2 linked regions of the Rhinolophus ferrumequinum genome follow. Each later gene encodes a partner of the first gene's protein in a complex. Links are inferred from orthologs where the notes say so. Each region holds a gene or a part of one and is shown on either strand. Other genes may lie near its edges.

Region 1 (8,063 bases):
CCGTAAGTTGGTCCTGGTTGCCACAACTGGGAAACTTAATATCTGGCAATCCTGTTCCCGTCTGTGAATTTTCCTCTGGCCTGGATTTCTGACTTGGTTGGAACTCTTGCTCTGGCCCTCATTTCTTGTTATGGCTGGGACTCTTGCTCCGACCATCAGTTCTCCTATGGCAGGGACTCTTGCTCTGGTTTCTGCTGTGGTGGAGACTCTCAGTCTTGCCCAGATTCTTGTCATGGTGGGGACTCTTGCTTCGGCTCCGACTTTTGCTATGGAGGGCATTCTTGCTCGGGCCCTGACTTTTGCTACTCTGGGGACGCTCACTCTGTTCCTGACATACGCCAAGTTGAAGACTCTCGCATTGATCCTGATTTATGCTTTGGTGGGGACTCTCGCTCCGGTTCCGACTTCTGCTTTGATGGGTATTTGTGTTCTGGCTGTCACTATTCTGGCATTCACTAGTAACAGTTGAACTACAGCTGGGATTAGTGCTACAGGTGGAACTCGTGGATGAAGGCATAGGACAGCTGTAGGGGACCTTCAGCGTCTCTTTGCGTGAGCCTCGAGAAGCCACAGAGTAGACATGGAAGCCACAGGGCATCGTATCAGGGTGGCCCTGGGGTCGGGGGTCAATGGGTAAACTTTGGGGGTCAAAAGGTGTTCTCAAAGGGATAAAAGAATAGATATGTGTAGGACATGGAGGTGCCACAGGCTGGCGATGGGGTTGGGATGGGCCCCTGGGAGTGCCATAGGTACCACGGGGGGGCACCATGGGCTGGTTATGACACTGAGGGGGACCTGTGGAACCAGAAGGTGGGCAGGGATCAGGGGTGGGGGGAACCACAGAATATATATGGGTACAGCAAGGGGCTCTTAGCGGGGGTCCATGGGGGCAGCTCTGAGCATAAATATTGGGTAAGATAGAATCACAAGGAAAGCAGAAGGGAAGCGAAGTGGGGATAACAGTTTTGAGGGTCCTAGGGACTAGGGTAGGTAAGGTAGTCCCTTGAGGAAGTTCTTTGGGGCAGGAATTTGAGCAAGTTGTGATGGATGTCACCATACAAGAAGGACCAGAGAGACCAGAAGGGTGGGAGGGAGGTATGGGAGAGGTGCTAGCCTTAGAGGGCCTGAATTGCTCAGGAGTGTTCTGGGCAGAGGTGACCAGGGAGCGACATCTGTGGGGAGCACGTAGCTGTTTTAACCCTGGGGATTTGGGGGACTTCTCTTGGGGGCAAACTGCAGTAAGGAGAGGGGGTTCATTATAGCTTCTACAAAAGGGTGACTGGGGTGGAGATACAAACTGGTTACCCAGGGATGAAGAGAAGGAGAAGGCAGAAAAAGGACAGGGTGAGGACAGGGAAAGAGGTGGTTCCTGAGGACACGGGGGACCAGAAACCGTGGTACCAGTAAAGAGGTAAGAGCGCCCACCAGTCTTCCAGGGGAAAATGGACTCAAAGCAAGGCTTCCTGGGAGCCTGGGACTGGGGTGAGCAAGAAGAACCAGTAATCCCAGGGGGTAGGAGAATGACACTATAAGGGCTCCCAGGGGCAGATATGTGGGTCTCTGGGGGGAGATGGGAATAGTGATAGGAATCCTCCTGAGATGAGCTGGGATAGTCAGCCACACATGCCTGAGAAGAAAGTGGGGAGCCACAATTTTTCCCAAGGCGTGGATCAAGCTGTGGTTTAGGTTCACAAGAGTCTGGAGGCTTAAGATGGCCTTGGTAAAACTGACCAGTGGGTGGGGAAGATGCTGAGGAAAGAGGAGGATCATTACAACTTCTCCCTGAGGACCAGGGAGGGTACAGAGAGGAGATCTGTGAGAGCTCTAACACCCTGTGAGAAAGGGGTAGGGAAATTATAGGCCTAGTTTCCTTGGGCTGGTGAGCAATGGGAGGTGAAATCATGAGGCCAGTTCCCTGAGAATCATGAGTGACAGGTGAAATCATGGGGCCAGTTTCTAAATGCACATGAGTGAGGGGAGGAGAACTCACCGGGCTGGTTTGTGGGGGCCCATGAGTGAGAGGAGGGGAGGTCACCCTGCTTGTTACTAAGGCTGAATTATTTTCAGCACAGTAACAGAGGTAAGTGTGGTGGTCAGTGTAAGGACTTTGGGGACAGGGACGAGGTGTTCTCACGGGACTGATCCAGCTGCAATGAGGGCTCCGCGAATGGAGAAGGGGTGAACCCAGAAGTCTGAACCGCTCAAAACAAGGGCTCGGAGGGCGCGAACCCGAGGGGACAGGCTCCTGGTAGCAGTGCCTTGCGAGGGGTGGAGAACAGGGTTCAAAAGAACATCTCTCCAAGCGCAGGGGAGGTTGTGGGGCTGAGGAGGGGGATAGTGGGGGCGGGGAGGGAATCGGTCGGGGTAGGGAGCGGGGAGTGCCGGTTATGGAGGAAATTCCAGGGCTACCGGTGAGGCCAGAGAAAAGGTCTCTGGAGAAATGGGGAGACCCAAGAGCGTGAGAGTAGTCAGGGCATCTTTTGCCCGGGTTTGAGGAAGGGCCGGGGGTATGGGCAGGGTGGTCGCTGTAACCTTTCCTCGCCGCTAGAGGCAGCTCGAGTGTAAGGAAGGGGTTAAATCCTTTTCCGAAGGGCGGCTGAGACCCAGGTAGGAAGGGAAAGTCGCTATGATCTTTTCCGTGGGGTGAGGGTGGCCCGGCTGGAAAATCTTTAAGGAAAGAAGGAGAAGAGGTCATGGGTGGAGGGGGGACGAGAAGGGGCGGGGTAGGAAAGAGGGGTAGGGTGGGAGAGAGGGAGGGAGGGAAGTGGGGGCCAAGAGGAAGGTAATCAAGAGCTGGGGAACAACAGGCAATGACAAAACTGGGAGAATGAGGACGGAGGTGATGACGTAACTTAGAGAGGCGGGGTCAGGCGGCTGTAGACGAAACAAGAGGGAGACCAAGACTTGTGGCGAAATAAAAGAGCCATGACGATAAAGAGGTGACGCCCCCTGAAGTGAGGGGGATAAAGGCCAAAGGCGTTCCAGAGGGGTGGGAGTAGCGAATCTAACTGAGTAGGGCGCGAAGTGGAAGGGCCAAAAAAGTTTCCCGAGGAGCGGCAGCCAGAGGCCGCTGTCACTGTTCCCTCCTGGGCCCCCGGCTGGACCTTACCCATTTCTTCTTATGTCGGTGTCTCCGCGGGACCTTCGCGAAGTCCGCACGCTTCAACAGGTCCCGAACACTTCTCACTACCAGAGCAGCCATATCCGCGTGCGCCGCTGTATAATTCCGACCGGAACAGCAAGGCGAGACCCGCGGGTTCCCGAGAGGTGGTGCGCGACTCGCGGGACAAAAAGGGGAGGGACTTACGGCTGAGTCCTCCCGAGGCTCCACCTACCTTTCCTCAGGTGCGACGCCCCCAGGGATCTTTTGAGGGTGCTGGAAAAGAACCACCCTTCGCACTGAATGGTGGCTCGGCCTGGGTGCTTGGAACATTTGGAGAGACTCCGTAAAAGTCTAACCCAGCTGGAATCGGAGTACTGGGAACTGGCAGTTGAGTACTGAAAGAGTTAGCTATACAAAAAGGGGCGGGAAAGGCCTCCAAGGCAGAAGAAGTTGCACGGAGAAAGATCCTAAGGTAGCGTTAAAAAACGAGCCTAGACGTGTAGGCAGAGACGGATTTTTAGTGAAGCTAATGAAAGCTTAAGTTTCTTCTGGACCTGTCATTCGCACTGCCCCCTTCAAGGCCCTGTACCTAATACTATATTATTTTTCTTTGTGTAAGTTTGGGGCTCCGGAAAACTTGACTTCACCACAGATAAAGAGCCAGTAGAGATCAGTGTTTTAAAAAGTGATCATCTAAAAAAAAGAAAAAAATTTGATCATCTGACAGCCGATGACCAAGTAGGTAGGGAGATCAGATGAGAGAAGATGATTGTCTGGATCAGCGTGGTGGCAGTGAAGATGGATCCCACCTATAATTAAGAGAGAAACTACAGGACTTGCTGACTGATTGGCCCAAAATAATACATACTACACCACCAATTAATTGCTGTTCTCTTACCCTGCCTTTATTCTTATAACTTATTACACCTGATATGTATTTATTTTCTTATAATTTTCAAAAGAAAAAAAGCATAATTCTTATACAAATATAAAATGAACACATGCCAGATTTTATTCATCGTAATAAATTACTCATCCATCATTATCCTAAATAACGAGGAAACCAGTAAGATGGTAGGACTTGTTCAAATGAGAATTTGAGTTGCAGAGCTTTCAATTATCAGCCAAAGGAATGCTGAAATGAATTTACTAATAGTTGCAAAATCATTAATATCCTATTAAGTAATAAACTTTAATATTTGGAATTATCTCTTATGCTAGATGGAAATCAATTCCATCTCTACTGGACAAAATTCATGCACATTACTATGGATAGGAATCATTTGCGTTGCTCCCAGACAAGAATTATTTACATTGCTACCAGTTTTCTACAAGTTAACCTCTACTCCTACAAAGTTGTAAGATAGCCTAGTCAATATAAAGTCAATCAAAGGTATAACCCAACACTAGAATGAAAAAGCACCCAGTAATCCTCTTCTGCCCATTTACACATTCTGGACAATTTTTCTGGACTTGTCTTCCCTCACTAGATTGCAAGATTTAAAAGAACAAGATTTTTTTAAATTCATTGCTGAATTATCATATCAGCACCTAGGACTGTAAGTGGTACATAGTTGGCTCTCAATAGATATGAATTAAATGAATTAAAGATGAGAAAATAGAAATGTAAATGTAAACAATTTTCAAGAAGTTGATTACAGGAACCAGGCAGTTGTAAAGTGAAAAGAGGTATGTGTATAGAAAAAAGTATTTTTTTAAAAAAAAGCTCATAGACATTTAAATCCAGATAAGGATCCAATAAGAGAAATTGGATACACAAGTGAGGAGGTATCTTAGACTCGCCTGTCCTCAAAAGCTTACACCAAATATGGAGTGTCAGGACCACAACCAAAATCTTGTGAAGGGCCCCTTCCCACTCCAGGCCTCAGTTTATCAATCTATAAAATGGGGAGCAAGGGTTGGACTAAATCAATGATTCTCAAACTTTTTGCTCTCAGGACTACTTTACACTCTTAAAAATTATTTAGAATTATTGAGCTTTTGTTTATTAGTATTTGCCAGATTAGAAATTGAAACAAATTTTAAAAATAGTCATTAAAATAACAATAAACCCATTACATTTAACATAAATATCATTAGAAAAATAATTATATTTTTCTAAAAGAAATTTAGTCAGAAGAGTGGAATTGTTTTATAGATCTCTTGCAAATTAATGTCTGGCTTAATAGAAAGCTGGATTCTCATATCTGCTTTTTCAGTGTGTTGTGATATGTTCTAGTTGAAATATGTGTAGAAAATCCAGTTTCACACATATTTAGTAAGAAAAGAGGGGTATTTTAGTAGCCTTTGTTTATAATTGTGAATATTCTTTGATACTAAACCACAATTTGACAAATGATAGTTTCTTTAAACATTAATGGCAGTGTGGAATCTGTAACTATATCAAAGAACTTTTGTACTCTGTTACATAGATTCATTGGACTCTCTGGTACTCTGTATGAAACTTTTGCCCATGCATGATTGTCACATCATACAGTGGTTATTTGGAAATTATTGGTTCACTGAGTTATACAGATCTTTCAAATGTTTTCACATTCATTATAAATATTTTTAAAAGTCACATTTGTTAATATCACTACTGATCTCAACAGAAAGACCCTTAAATGTTAGGAAGCTTTTAAACTCACAATGGCTGGTGCAGGTTTTTCAAAATCCTAATTTTTGCTTGAAAGCTTGGATTTTATTTTTGGCAGCAAATAACTGACAATTCTTTTCCTTGAAATGACAGGCTTACTTTGTCCATTTTTCAAGAAAATGCTAGTATATTAAAATACAATTGATTTTTGTCTATTGATTTTATTTTCTGAAACTTTGCTAAATTCAGTTATGTTTTGGTAACTTTTTGAGAAATCTTTTCAGATTTTCTATGCACAAGATCATGTCTTTTATCAAGTTGCTTTTATTTCTTTTCAATCTTTTATTTCTTTTCAATCTGCATGCTTTTTTTCCCCTTGCCTTTCATTGCCTTATTCCACTGGTTAGGACTTACTGTTGAATCCAAGTCATGTTAGTATAGACATCATTGCCTTGTTCCAAAGGCATTCAGTATTTCACCATTATATGTGATGTTAGCTGTAGTTTTTTGTTTTTTTCCATTTTTTTATTTTATTTTATTATTATTATTTTTTAAGATTTTATTGGGGAAGGGGAACAGGACTTTATTGGGGAACAGTGTGTATTTCCAGGACTTTTTCCAAGTCAAGTTGTTGTCCTTTCAATCTTAGTTGTGGAGGGTGCAGCTCAGCTCCAGGTCCAGTTGCCGTTGTTAGTCTAGTGTAGGGGGCACAGCCCATCATCCCTTGCGGGAGTCAAGGAGTCCAACCGGCAACCTTGTGGTTGAGAGCCCACTGGCCCATGTGGGAATCAAACTGGCAGCCCTTAGAGTTAGGAGTATGGAGCTCCAACTGCCTGAGCCACCGGGCCGGCCCATTTTTTAGGTTTTTTTAGAAGTTCCCTTCTATTCCTAGTTTGCTGAGATTTTTAAAACATCAAGAATGGTTGTTGATTTTCTTCAAATGCTTTTCCTACATCTATTGAGATGATCATATGTTTTTTTCTTCATTCTGTTAATACGATGAATTATACTGTCTGATTTTTCAAATGATGAACCAACTTTGCATTCCTGTGTAAAAAACCCCACAGTTCATGATGTATTATTCTTTTTTTTAAAGATTTTATTGGGGAAAGGGAACAGGACTTTATTGGGGAACAGTGTGTACTTTCAGGCCTTTTTTCCAAGTCAAGTTGTTGTCCTTTCAATCTTAGTTGTGGAGGGTGCTGTTCAACTTCAAGTTGTTGTCCTTTCAGTCTTAGTTGTGGAGGGCGCAGCTCAGCTCCAGGTCCAGTTGCCGTTTTCTAGTTGCAGGGGGCGCTGCCCACCATCCCTTGCAGGAGTCGAGGAATCAAACTGGCAACCTTGTGGTTGAGAGGACGCGCTCCAACCAACTGAGCCATTCGGGAGCTCAGCGGCAGCTCAGCTCAAGGTGCCGTGTTCAATCTTAGTTGCAGGGGGCACAGCCCACCATCCCTTGTGGGACTCGAGGAATTGAACTGGCAACCTTGTGGTTGAGAGCCTGTGCTCCAACCAACTGAGCCATCCGGGAGGCTCAAGGTGCCCGTGTTCAATCTTAGTTGCAGGGAGTGGAGCCCACCATCCCTTGTGGGACTTGAGGAATTGAACTGGCAACCTTGTGGTTGAGAGCCCACTGGCCCATGTGGGAATCGAACCGGTGGCCTGCGGAGTTAGGAGCATGGAGCTCTAACCGCCTGAGCCACCGGGCCGGCCCATATTATTCTTTTTATATATTATTTTATTGTTGCATCTATGTTCATGGGGATATTGGCCAGCAATTTTCTCTTCCCGTAAGGCCTTCGTTTGATTTTGATATTCAGGGTAATGCTGGCCTCATAAAATTAGTTTGGGAAGTGTCCCTTCACTTCTATTTTCTGAAAGAATTTTTATTCAATTGGTATTATTTCTTCTTTAAATTACTGACAGAATTAAACAGTGAAGCCATCTGAGCCTGGAGTTGGATGTTTCTTTTACCTTCTTTCTTTCCCTCCCTTACTTCCTTCCTTCTTTTTCCCTCCCTCGTTCCCTCCCTCCCTCCCGCCTTTCCTTTCTTCCTCCTTTCTTCCCTTCCTTCCTTCCTTTCTGGAATGCAGGGTGAGAAGGAAAGGAAGGTTTTAAATTATGAATTCAATTTCTTTCCTTGATATTCTGTTTTCAACCGGAGGTGATTTTGCCTCTTCTCCAGGGGACATTTGGTAACATCTGGGGATATTTTGAGTTGTTATAACTGAGTGGTGCTTTTGCAGTAGATACTGCTGAAAACCCTGCAATACACAGGACAGTCCACCCCACCCAAAGAATTATCCAGACCAAAATGTCAATAGTGCTAAGGTTGAGAAACTCTGATAAAAGGCTATTTGAATTTTA
Region 2 (7,788 bases), on another chromosome or scaffold:
CAGGGATTTCCTGAAAAGGTCAGACAGTAAGATGGGGAGTAGCGTCCCTCACCATGGGACTCTGGGTTGAGGTTTCCTTCCAGAATAAAACTGTCATCGGACCACTCACAACCAACATTCCTAAGACCTGGGGGCCTGAACTCAAAGAAAAGGAGTGCCATGAAAATAATTACCATAATAGTAACAACTAGCACAAATACTGATGACCCACCTAGTGGGGTGACCACATATTTTATCCAAACTGGGTGAAAGATGCCCTGTTAATTGCATTAGATAACTGGTGTGAACTGAGACTGCCTGAGGTAGGTGAACTGCGTGCGGCACATGGTCTCCTACGGATAGTTGGTAAAAGTTAGTACCTGGAAACTTAAAATCACTTCTTTAAATGGCTAGTTGAAATGCTCCTAACAGTTGAATTAGTCACTGTCTTGCCAAAATGTATCAGAATTTCAGGAGTTTAGACTTTATCTTTGCCACGTAAGGCCGTGCTGAGCTTGCTAATTTATAATCAGAGCACATAAGGTGTTCCGTTTAGTCTTTCCGATTATACAGCCACAGGTCATCGGGTCCGAGAAACACACAAGGCGGTCTCTGCTTACTTCTGGAGAAGAAGGCCTGCAGAGGTCATCTGAAACGTGGTCTGCAAACCTTTCCCCCCCGACGTCTAACCAGTGAGAGTCAAGAGTGAAAAAGAGAACAGTGGAACTCCTCTGGTCAAAGTGGGTAGGGGTCCTTGGAGACCCTCCTGGGCCCCCAAACCCCTTCTCCAGAGGGCCCATAAAGAGACCCAATGAACTTCTCTAGAATTCTGTTGGGACTGGAGGTGGCGGCTGGAGGGAACAGCTGCTCCACCATTTCCCAGGAATCTGGGAAGATCTCCCGTTCCACAGTAAATCAAGACACCCAGCTGGAATCCAAGCATTTACCAGGGACTCTGTATGGCTCTGGCTCAACCTCAGACACAAAGCACTAAGACCACCTAAGCTAATTTAAACACCAAAGGTTATACACGTCTATATCGCATACTGACATCCACCTGTGAGCACCCGTGCCCACCTGTTCTAGACGCTAGAGCCCCCCCAGGGAACAAGACGAGAGTCCCTGCCTGCTACCCAACTGCCTCCTCCCGTCCTGCAACGCCTGAAACGAGACCACGCCTCTTCTTCACCTCCACACCAAGTCACACAGTCCTCTCAAGGGCCTTCCCCAGAAACCTCCCCTAATCCAGCTCACGGAGGCTGCTCGTTCCCCAGCGTGGACCCCTGGGCACTATCTATAAAAGCTACACCTTTACCTTCTCCAAGGCCAAGCTTTCGCAGATAACTGGAGCGCTTCTTCATGTGCATCACAGGCAGTTTCAATAACTGAGGACTTTTCTTCAGAGCCACACACACAGGCTCTGGATTCACACCCAAGAGTATTAATTCTGAAACGATATCCAGCACCTGTTGAGGGTGGGTACCTGGTTGCACTGTGAGCAACTCATTCACGTGGACATCACTGAAACCCATGTCCAGGAGGGAAGTGATGACCTCCTCTCGCTCCCAGGGCCCTCCGTCCACAGGAGCACTCTGCTTCTCGAGGAGGCACTGAGGGAGATGCGTCCTGCACGCTGGGTCCTGCACACAGGGTACCTCCTCAAGGCCCCCTCCGGTGGAGGCTGTGGTCAGTTTACACAACGAGGAAGCCGTCATCTTTTTCTGAGGAGTCTGCCTAGACATGCGGGCCCAGGTGAGGGGGATCAGGTGGTACCAAGCCGAGACCTGGAAGACAGTACAAAAGGGCATCAGTTCCTCATCGCCCCATGTCACGGGCACCGCAGGACGTACAAGCAGGATGAGCAGGGTATCTGTGCCTTGGTCCCACAGGAACCTGTTTTCATAAGACATCTGCAAAATCGTACGTGAACTTCAAAAGCCTACACAGAAGGAGATTCCCACACAGAGAGCAGAGCACTGCAAGGGCAGAGGTCAGAGCAACGCAGGCTCCCAGCTTGGGCTCCTGTAACTGAGGGGAAGGGAACTATTTCAGTGCCGCCTGGTGAAGTGCTTGGGGGAGGGGAGGACGTTTCCTTCACCCTGTCAGGGTCAGTGTGGGGGGGTGGGGGGGGCGGAGGCTGCAAATTTAACTGACAGTAGATCCACAGGAAGAAAAATCCCCCAAGTTTCTTAACGTGCATATGGCAGCTAACAAAAGACGTAGCTCCCTATGTGGCTAGTGACGGACGTTAACTTCACGACGGAGAGGGAGGAGGAGAAAAGGCTCTTATGGGAAGAACCAGCGGGTTTCTAGGGGGACAGGGGCGATGAGAAAGTTTGCCGGATTGTCTGTTTATACAGGTGCCGAGTGGTCTTCTTTCTTTTTTTCCTTCCCGGCCATAAACTCCCCGGGAGAGAGGACCCACGGCAGCCTCACTCCCAGCCGTTTCTGCTTTTAGTGAAAAGCAAAGCTCTGAGGAAACTTCCCGTAGGTGCCGAATCTCAAATGTCTTTAGTCTACAATGGTTTCCACGCCAACTCCGGGGCGCCGACTTGGTCCCACACGTGAAAACTCGGGACCTCCTACTAGGCTCGGGATTCATGGCCCTAAGTCCATTCCACAGAAACAACCCTGTTAGGTAGAATGCAGCTTAGTCCGGCAGCCAACTTGTATGTAGAATTCCCGCTCACTTCAAAAGTGGTCCGTGGCCCAGGCCGGCGCGGAGCAAACCGGACGGGTCCCCGCGCGCCCAAACGTCACCCAGCGTGGCCCCCGGCAGGCAGTCAAGCCCACGCGCTCGCGGCCCCCGGGCTGCCGCGCCTCGCCCCGCCCGCGGCCCACCCGCTCCCGCCGCCGGATTCACGCCCGGGCCCGGCTAGTGCCGAGCCGGGCGGAGCTGCGCTCAGGGCGCGCTGACCGAGCGGACAGCGAGCGCCGCAGCCCAGGTGCGTGCACTTGCTGTGTGCACCGGCCTGCGGGAAGGCTCCGACGGCAACAGGTCGCCGCCTGCCGGGAAGCACCTGGGCGCCGGCGACTCCTCTGCGCCCCCGCCCGCGACCCGCCAGGGGTCCAGCCGACGGCGCAGCCTCACCTGCCGGCCGAGCGCCGCCATAGCGCGAAGGCGGCCACCGCGACTCCGGCGCCGGAAGCAGAGCGCCCGCCGTCCGCCGCTTCCGCCTTCCCCCTCGCAAGCGCGACGGCGCGGGAAACGCGTTCCGCGGCGGCCCTTCTCAGGACGTGTCCCGCGCTGGGCGGGCCCGGGGCGGGTTCTCCGCTTTGTTCTCCGCTGCCACTTTCCCGCTTTCTCGCCTTCTCGGCTAGCGCGGCTAGCGAACAGCTCCTTCCCCAAACCTTCGCTTCGCGTTACTTTAAAATCCCTCTGAAGAGAAGAGGTGAAAGGAAACTAGAACCTGGACTCAAACCGGCCACGTCCCGTGGTTCGACAGTAACTTCCCGAAGCGTTTTCACGTCGGGGTAGAAGCAGCCAGAAAACACGGGGTCCCAGATGAAGATGTTTAAGACTTACTGTGTGAAAATCTGTATTCAGCATGAATACTGAGGAAACACACACACACACTAAAAGACAGGTGTATTCTAGGGGTGTTGAAACTATCGCAAGGAACTCCGGAAGTCTTGACAATTTTTAAGAAATACGACCCAAGTCATCAAATGACAGGAACTGCAACACATGTCCCCTTATTGACACAAGTCCTCCCCACTCGGAGGTCTGGTTTCCCCTTGAGATGAAAGCCAGTAATGTTTCAGCCCAATTTGCTGTTAAAACAGTTTCATGATTGAAAGCTTTTTTGAAAGAAAGGGTGTATTGAGCCATACGCTAGCCAGAAAAGAACCAGGTCCTGGGGTGTGCAGTCTAAACCGCCAGCAGCAGTGCTACCGTGTTTCCCTGAAAATACGACCTAGCCGGGCCATCAGCTCTGATGCGTCTTTTGAAGCGAAAGTTAATATAAGACCCGGTCTTATTTTACTATAAGACCCGCTCTTCTCATAATATAATCTTATATTAATTTTTACTCCAAAAGATGCATTAGAGCTGATGGTCCGGCTAGGCCTTATTTTCGGGGAAACACGGTAGGTGAAGGCAACATGTCCGCGGTCCTGGGGTTGACAAGCTCTTGGTATACAGCAAGTAGAAGGAAGATGTGAGTTGTTCAAGAACTGATACTGGCTGTGAAGGGGGTGTGAGAAGGTGGAGCAGGGCTAGCTTGGGGATGGGTGCAGTCCAGGGAGGAAGTGTTTGCTCCTTTGGATTGGCTGTGGGCAACAGTGAGGGGAATCCACAGGTAACCAGGAAGTGGAGGCTTCTGGGGGGCAGTGGCCCTAGCTATTCTCCAGATAACCGTAGAAACAGGCACTTGGAAGTTAATTTGAAGTTCCAACACACACTCAGGAATGCAAGCAGTCTTGTTGGTTTTGCCCTGCATTGTTTAAATGACTAACCTCTTTCTTGTGTCTTCCCTCCACCCTCTGGCCTGCTGTAATTAATTCACGACATCTCAGAATTTTCTTGTCATGGTATTTCTTCTTAAATTTCAAACCTGTAGTAATTCGGGTGTAGAGCCTACGCATCTTTCAAACGTGGGTAGTTGTGAAAAAAACTAAAACGGTGTGTTCCCTCAACTGCCTGAATTCCACCACTCGTAAGCCCAGTACCTTACTTTATAAACATTTCTTCTTGTTTCACCAACTTTGTTCTGAACTGGGACCTGGTTCTGAACTTGGTTCTGGTTCAGAAAAGGGACCTGATTCTTGCATGAATACAATTTACAGAGTACCTGCTCTGTGCCAAGCACTGCGCTGGGTGCTAAGACCTATCTTTTTACACAAGGATTACATCAAAGAAAAGGACATTTGTAATCTGTGTGGGGTCAAAGAATTGGTTGTTTTTGATGGTTTTTAATCTTTCTTCTTAAAACACTCCACTGTCAGCACCTCAAAATAAATTGTTAATGCTTTTACACCCAAAGCCTAAGAAAACCCTGTGCTACCCCACAACCTGGAAAGCATCAAGGAACCTAAGCAGTTATCCAGCTCTGGAAACAAAGAAACGGCTGGGGTGCCAGGTTTGCTCTAAGAGCCAGCAGTATCTTCAGTTTGCTATGAACATGTTGCTCTCTGGGCACATACTTGGAACGTGGACAGAAAAATGCATCAGTCTCAGACTCAGAACTTTTCTCCCCAGTTCTTTCTGTGAAAAACACTCTCAAAGTATCAAACCTTCTACTGCCATCAAGTCAGATGAATTTTGTTTCATATAAAGAACGAACAGCTCTTGTAGAGTGAGGACTTTGCATTATCAGCCCATGGCACGCCTGTCTGAAAAAAACATTCTGTAACTGCTCTTGTGTTATAAACATCATAAACACTACAAGGATAAATGTTTGGGGTTTTTTTCCCCCCACTTTTGAAAACAGTTCTTAGAACATAAGGAAACTCATTTGAATTCTGAAGTTCTGTATCACTTTTTCCTACACATAAAAGCACATGTCTCCAAGCTCTGTCTAACTGACCCTGATGGAGGAGTCCCATCTCTTTCCCGTGATGGCAGAGACTCGAACAGCAATTTCTAGAGATGGGGAAATCCTGTGTCCTAGTAGTTGAGAATCACATTAGCTGTTATCTGAGCGTCCTAAAATATTAAGACCGTTGAGTGCTGAGCACAGGGCCATAGTGGAGGCGGCCTGGCCCCCGAGTACCTTCCTCAGGGCTCTGGGCAGCAGCCGCCTTGGTACCTGCAGCAAGTGGGAACTGTGGGAAGAGAGTGGGGAGTCTTCCTTTTTCTTGTTTTCTTCCTGGTGTTTCAGAAGGCGTGAGGGGAGAAACTTTCCTCTTACCCCTAAGCACTCTCTCCCCTCCAACAGGTACAAAATGGAGCCTGGCTTTCATGTGCTTGAGCAAGCTGATTGTTTCAGAGGGGATGCACGGAGCCGGGGACAGGGGGTATCTGAGTGTGAGAAGCCCTGGGACCGGAGCAAGAGTAGGACAGTGAGGGAGAGGTGGCGCCAGGCTGGCGCGGGGATGTCTGGGGCTGCTGGGAGGGTCTGCTGCACAGCCCGCCTGACATCAGAGCCCAGACAGGTGATGGGCCAACCCGGACAAGCTGGGCCCAGAGAAAGGGAGGTGCCCGAGACCGCCACTCTCTCCCAGTCTCCTGAGACGGAGCAAGCTGCAAAGCTTGCTGGGGTCCCTGGAGGGACCCCAAACTGTGTGAGGCTGGCCCTCCCTCCAGCTGCAGTGAGTAGGGGTGCAGAAACAAAGTGCTTCCCACACTGGCATTGTGGAAGAATTCAGACAGTCCAAGTCAGGGTAAGTGTTTACTAACAAAGTGGTTTAATTTGGAAAATGTTCAAGGAAATAAATGAATAAAATACGCTGGTCATTTGGCTAACCAGTTCTGCAAATTCCGCCTATCAGATGAGCAGAGGCCAAGTCAGAGGAAACAGAAATGTGCATATATACAGAAGTAGAAAGAGATTTACAAATTTATTGATGCTTTTCAGAAGTTCACAGATGAAATGGCCTCTCATAGTACAAAACTCAATTGAATACTACCATGTTTTTTCAAAGTCATGAAAAAAATGAACTCCAAGTCTATTTTATAAACCTAAAATGGTACAACATCACTGGGCTTTTGTTCTAGCATTTATCAAACTCACACATGTGTTTTTCAGAGGTGAACTTGGCCTAATTCCTGAGAATTAATTTCTCTCAACAGAAGGGCCTGAAAACAACGTGATTTCCTGGTTGGGTGAAACCATCGTTAGGGGGCTCCCCTGGGGCCCGAGGCCACTGTGCTTGGGGTCCTGCTCTCCGTCTCCAGACTCATAATGGACAGAACTCCGCTGTCTGAGGAAAGAAGATGGTAGTGCATCATATGCTAACACCACATGATTCTAAACCACTTTGCTTCCCTCTAGAAGAATTCCTAGGAGCAAAAGCCATCCGAGGGACCCTTCCAAACCCAACTGGCACTGTTCCAGAGTCCCTGGACCCGCCGAGGTGCGGTGGGGTTCGAGGCTGGAGTCATCACCACCAGCTCAGTGACCAGCCACATGGGCTGGGTGGCCCGGCTGGGCAGCCATCTGCCTCGTCTGAAGAGCAGGGCCCTGCAGGTCCCCGAACACTGACTCACGTCTATGGCCTCATTCCCCTCGTCAGCCCATTCACATCACTGCAGCAACTGCATTTCTCAAACCCCAGCCCCCACCCCTTCTGTAGGTACCATCTCATCACAGGCTCCCACAGGGACTCACTCACCCACCTTCCAAGGCCCACAGGCAAAGCTCTGAACCCCGGGGGCATTCAGGGGCCCCTGGAACAGAATCAAGTCCCGTTTGTTTCATAGGGGACGAGCCAGCTATGGGCCGTGACATTTGTGTCCAGAACAGCATGGGAGGAGGGAGCCTCCCCGTCCTCCCCGGACCCAAAAGGCAGCCTGGGGAACCTCCTCACCTCTCACCTGGCTTATTTACTTGATACACCTCCTCCCAGGTGTAGTCAGCAAGGTTCACAGGCTGCGTCACCCAGGGGTTTGTCACCAGCTTCTCCAAGGTGGTGCGCTGCTCAGGGACAGGCTGCAGCAACCCAGACAGGAGGCTCATTAGATCTGGGGACATAAAAAGCTGCCCTAGGCATGGGGCCAGAAGACCAACATTGGTCTGGCCTGGGTCAAGTGAAGCGCATCTGAAAACCGCGGGTCCTGGTCTGCCCCCATGAGCACCTGACCGGCAGCGAGGAGCCCTGGAACCCCACTTTTAGCTAGTACCCCAGGGTTTCTGGCGCACAGGGCCC

The links. The genes of interacting proteins can lie anywhere in the genome.
Region 2: the proteins of NSUN4 (region 1) and MTERF4 are in contact, whole or in part, in a crystal structure (PDB 4FP9), measured with the Homo sapiens proteins. The link is inferred for Rhinolophus ferrumequinum from reciprocal best matches to the Homo sapiens genes NSUN4 and MTERF4. Residues at the interface, in NP_950245.2 of Homo sapiens: Pro61, Ser62, Arg64, Val65, Leu68, Ser69, Glu70, Arg136, Gly137, Asp138, Ile139, Arg141, Asn367, Leu368, Met369; in NP_872307.2 of Homo sapiens: Tyr267, Glu269, Arg270, Leu271, Gly272, Arg273, Glu311, Glu312, Val315, Phe316, Lys318, Leu319, Arg322, Glu323, Glu326.

Annotation. Positions count from the first base shown.
Region 1 is NC_046292.1:32,909,598-32,917,660, reverse strand, and holds the start of NSUN4 (5-methylcytosine rRNA methyltransferase NSUN4), read right to left. Parts: upstream 3,291-8,063; 5' UTR 3,203-3,290; coding exon 3,110-3,202; intron 1-3,109. UniProt on the Homo sapiens protein: Mitochondrial RNA cytosine C(5)-methyltransferase that methylates cytosine to 5-methylcytosine (m5C) in various RNAs, such as rRNAs, mRNAs and some long non-coding RNAs (lncRNAs).
Region 2 is NC_046291.1:548,054-555,841, reverse strand, and holds the start of MTERF4 (transcription termination factor 4, mitochondrial), read right to left. Parts: upstream 3,222-7,788; 5' UTR 3,092-3,221; coding exon 3,071-3,091; intron 1,764-3,070; coding exon 1,295-1,763; intron 1-1,294. Other genes in the region: PASK (PAS domain-containing serine/threonine-protein kinase), read right to left, coding at 6,758-6,843, 7,457-7,603. UniProt on the Homo sapiens protein: Regulator of mitochondrial ribosome biogenesis and translation. Binds to mitochondrial ribosomal RNAs 16S, 12S and 7S and targets NSUN4 RNA methyltransferase to the mitochondrial large ribosomal subunit (39S).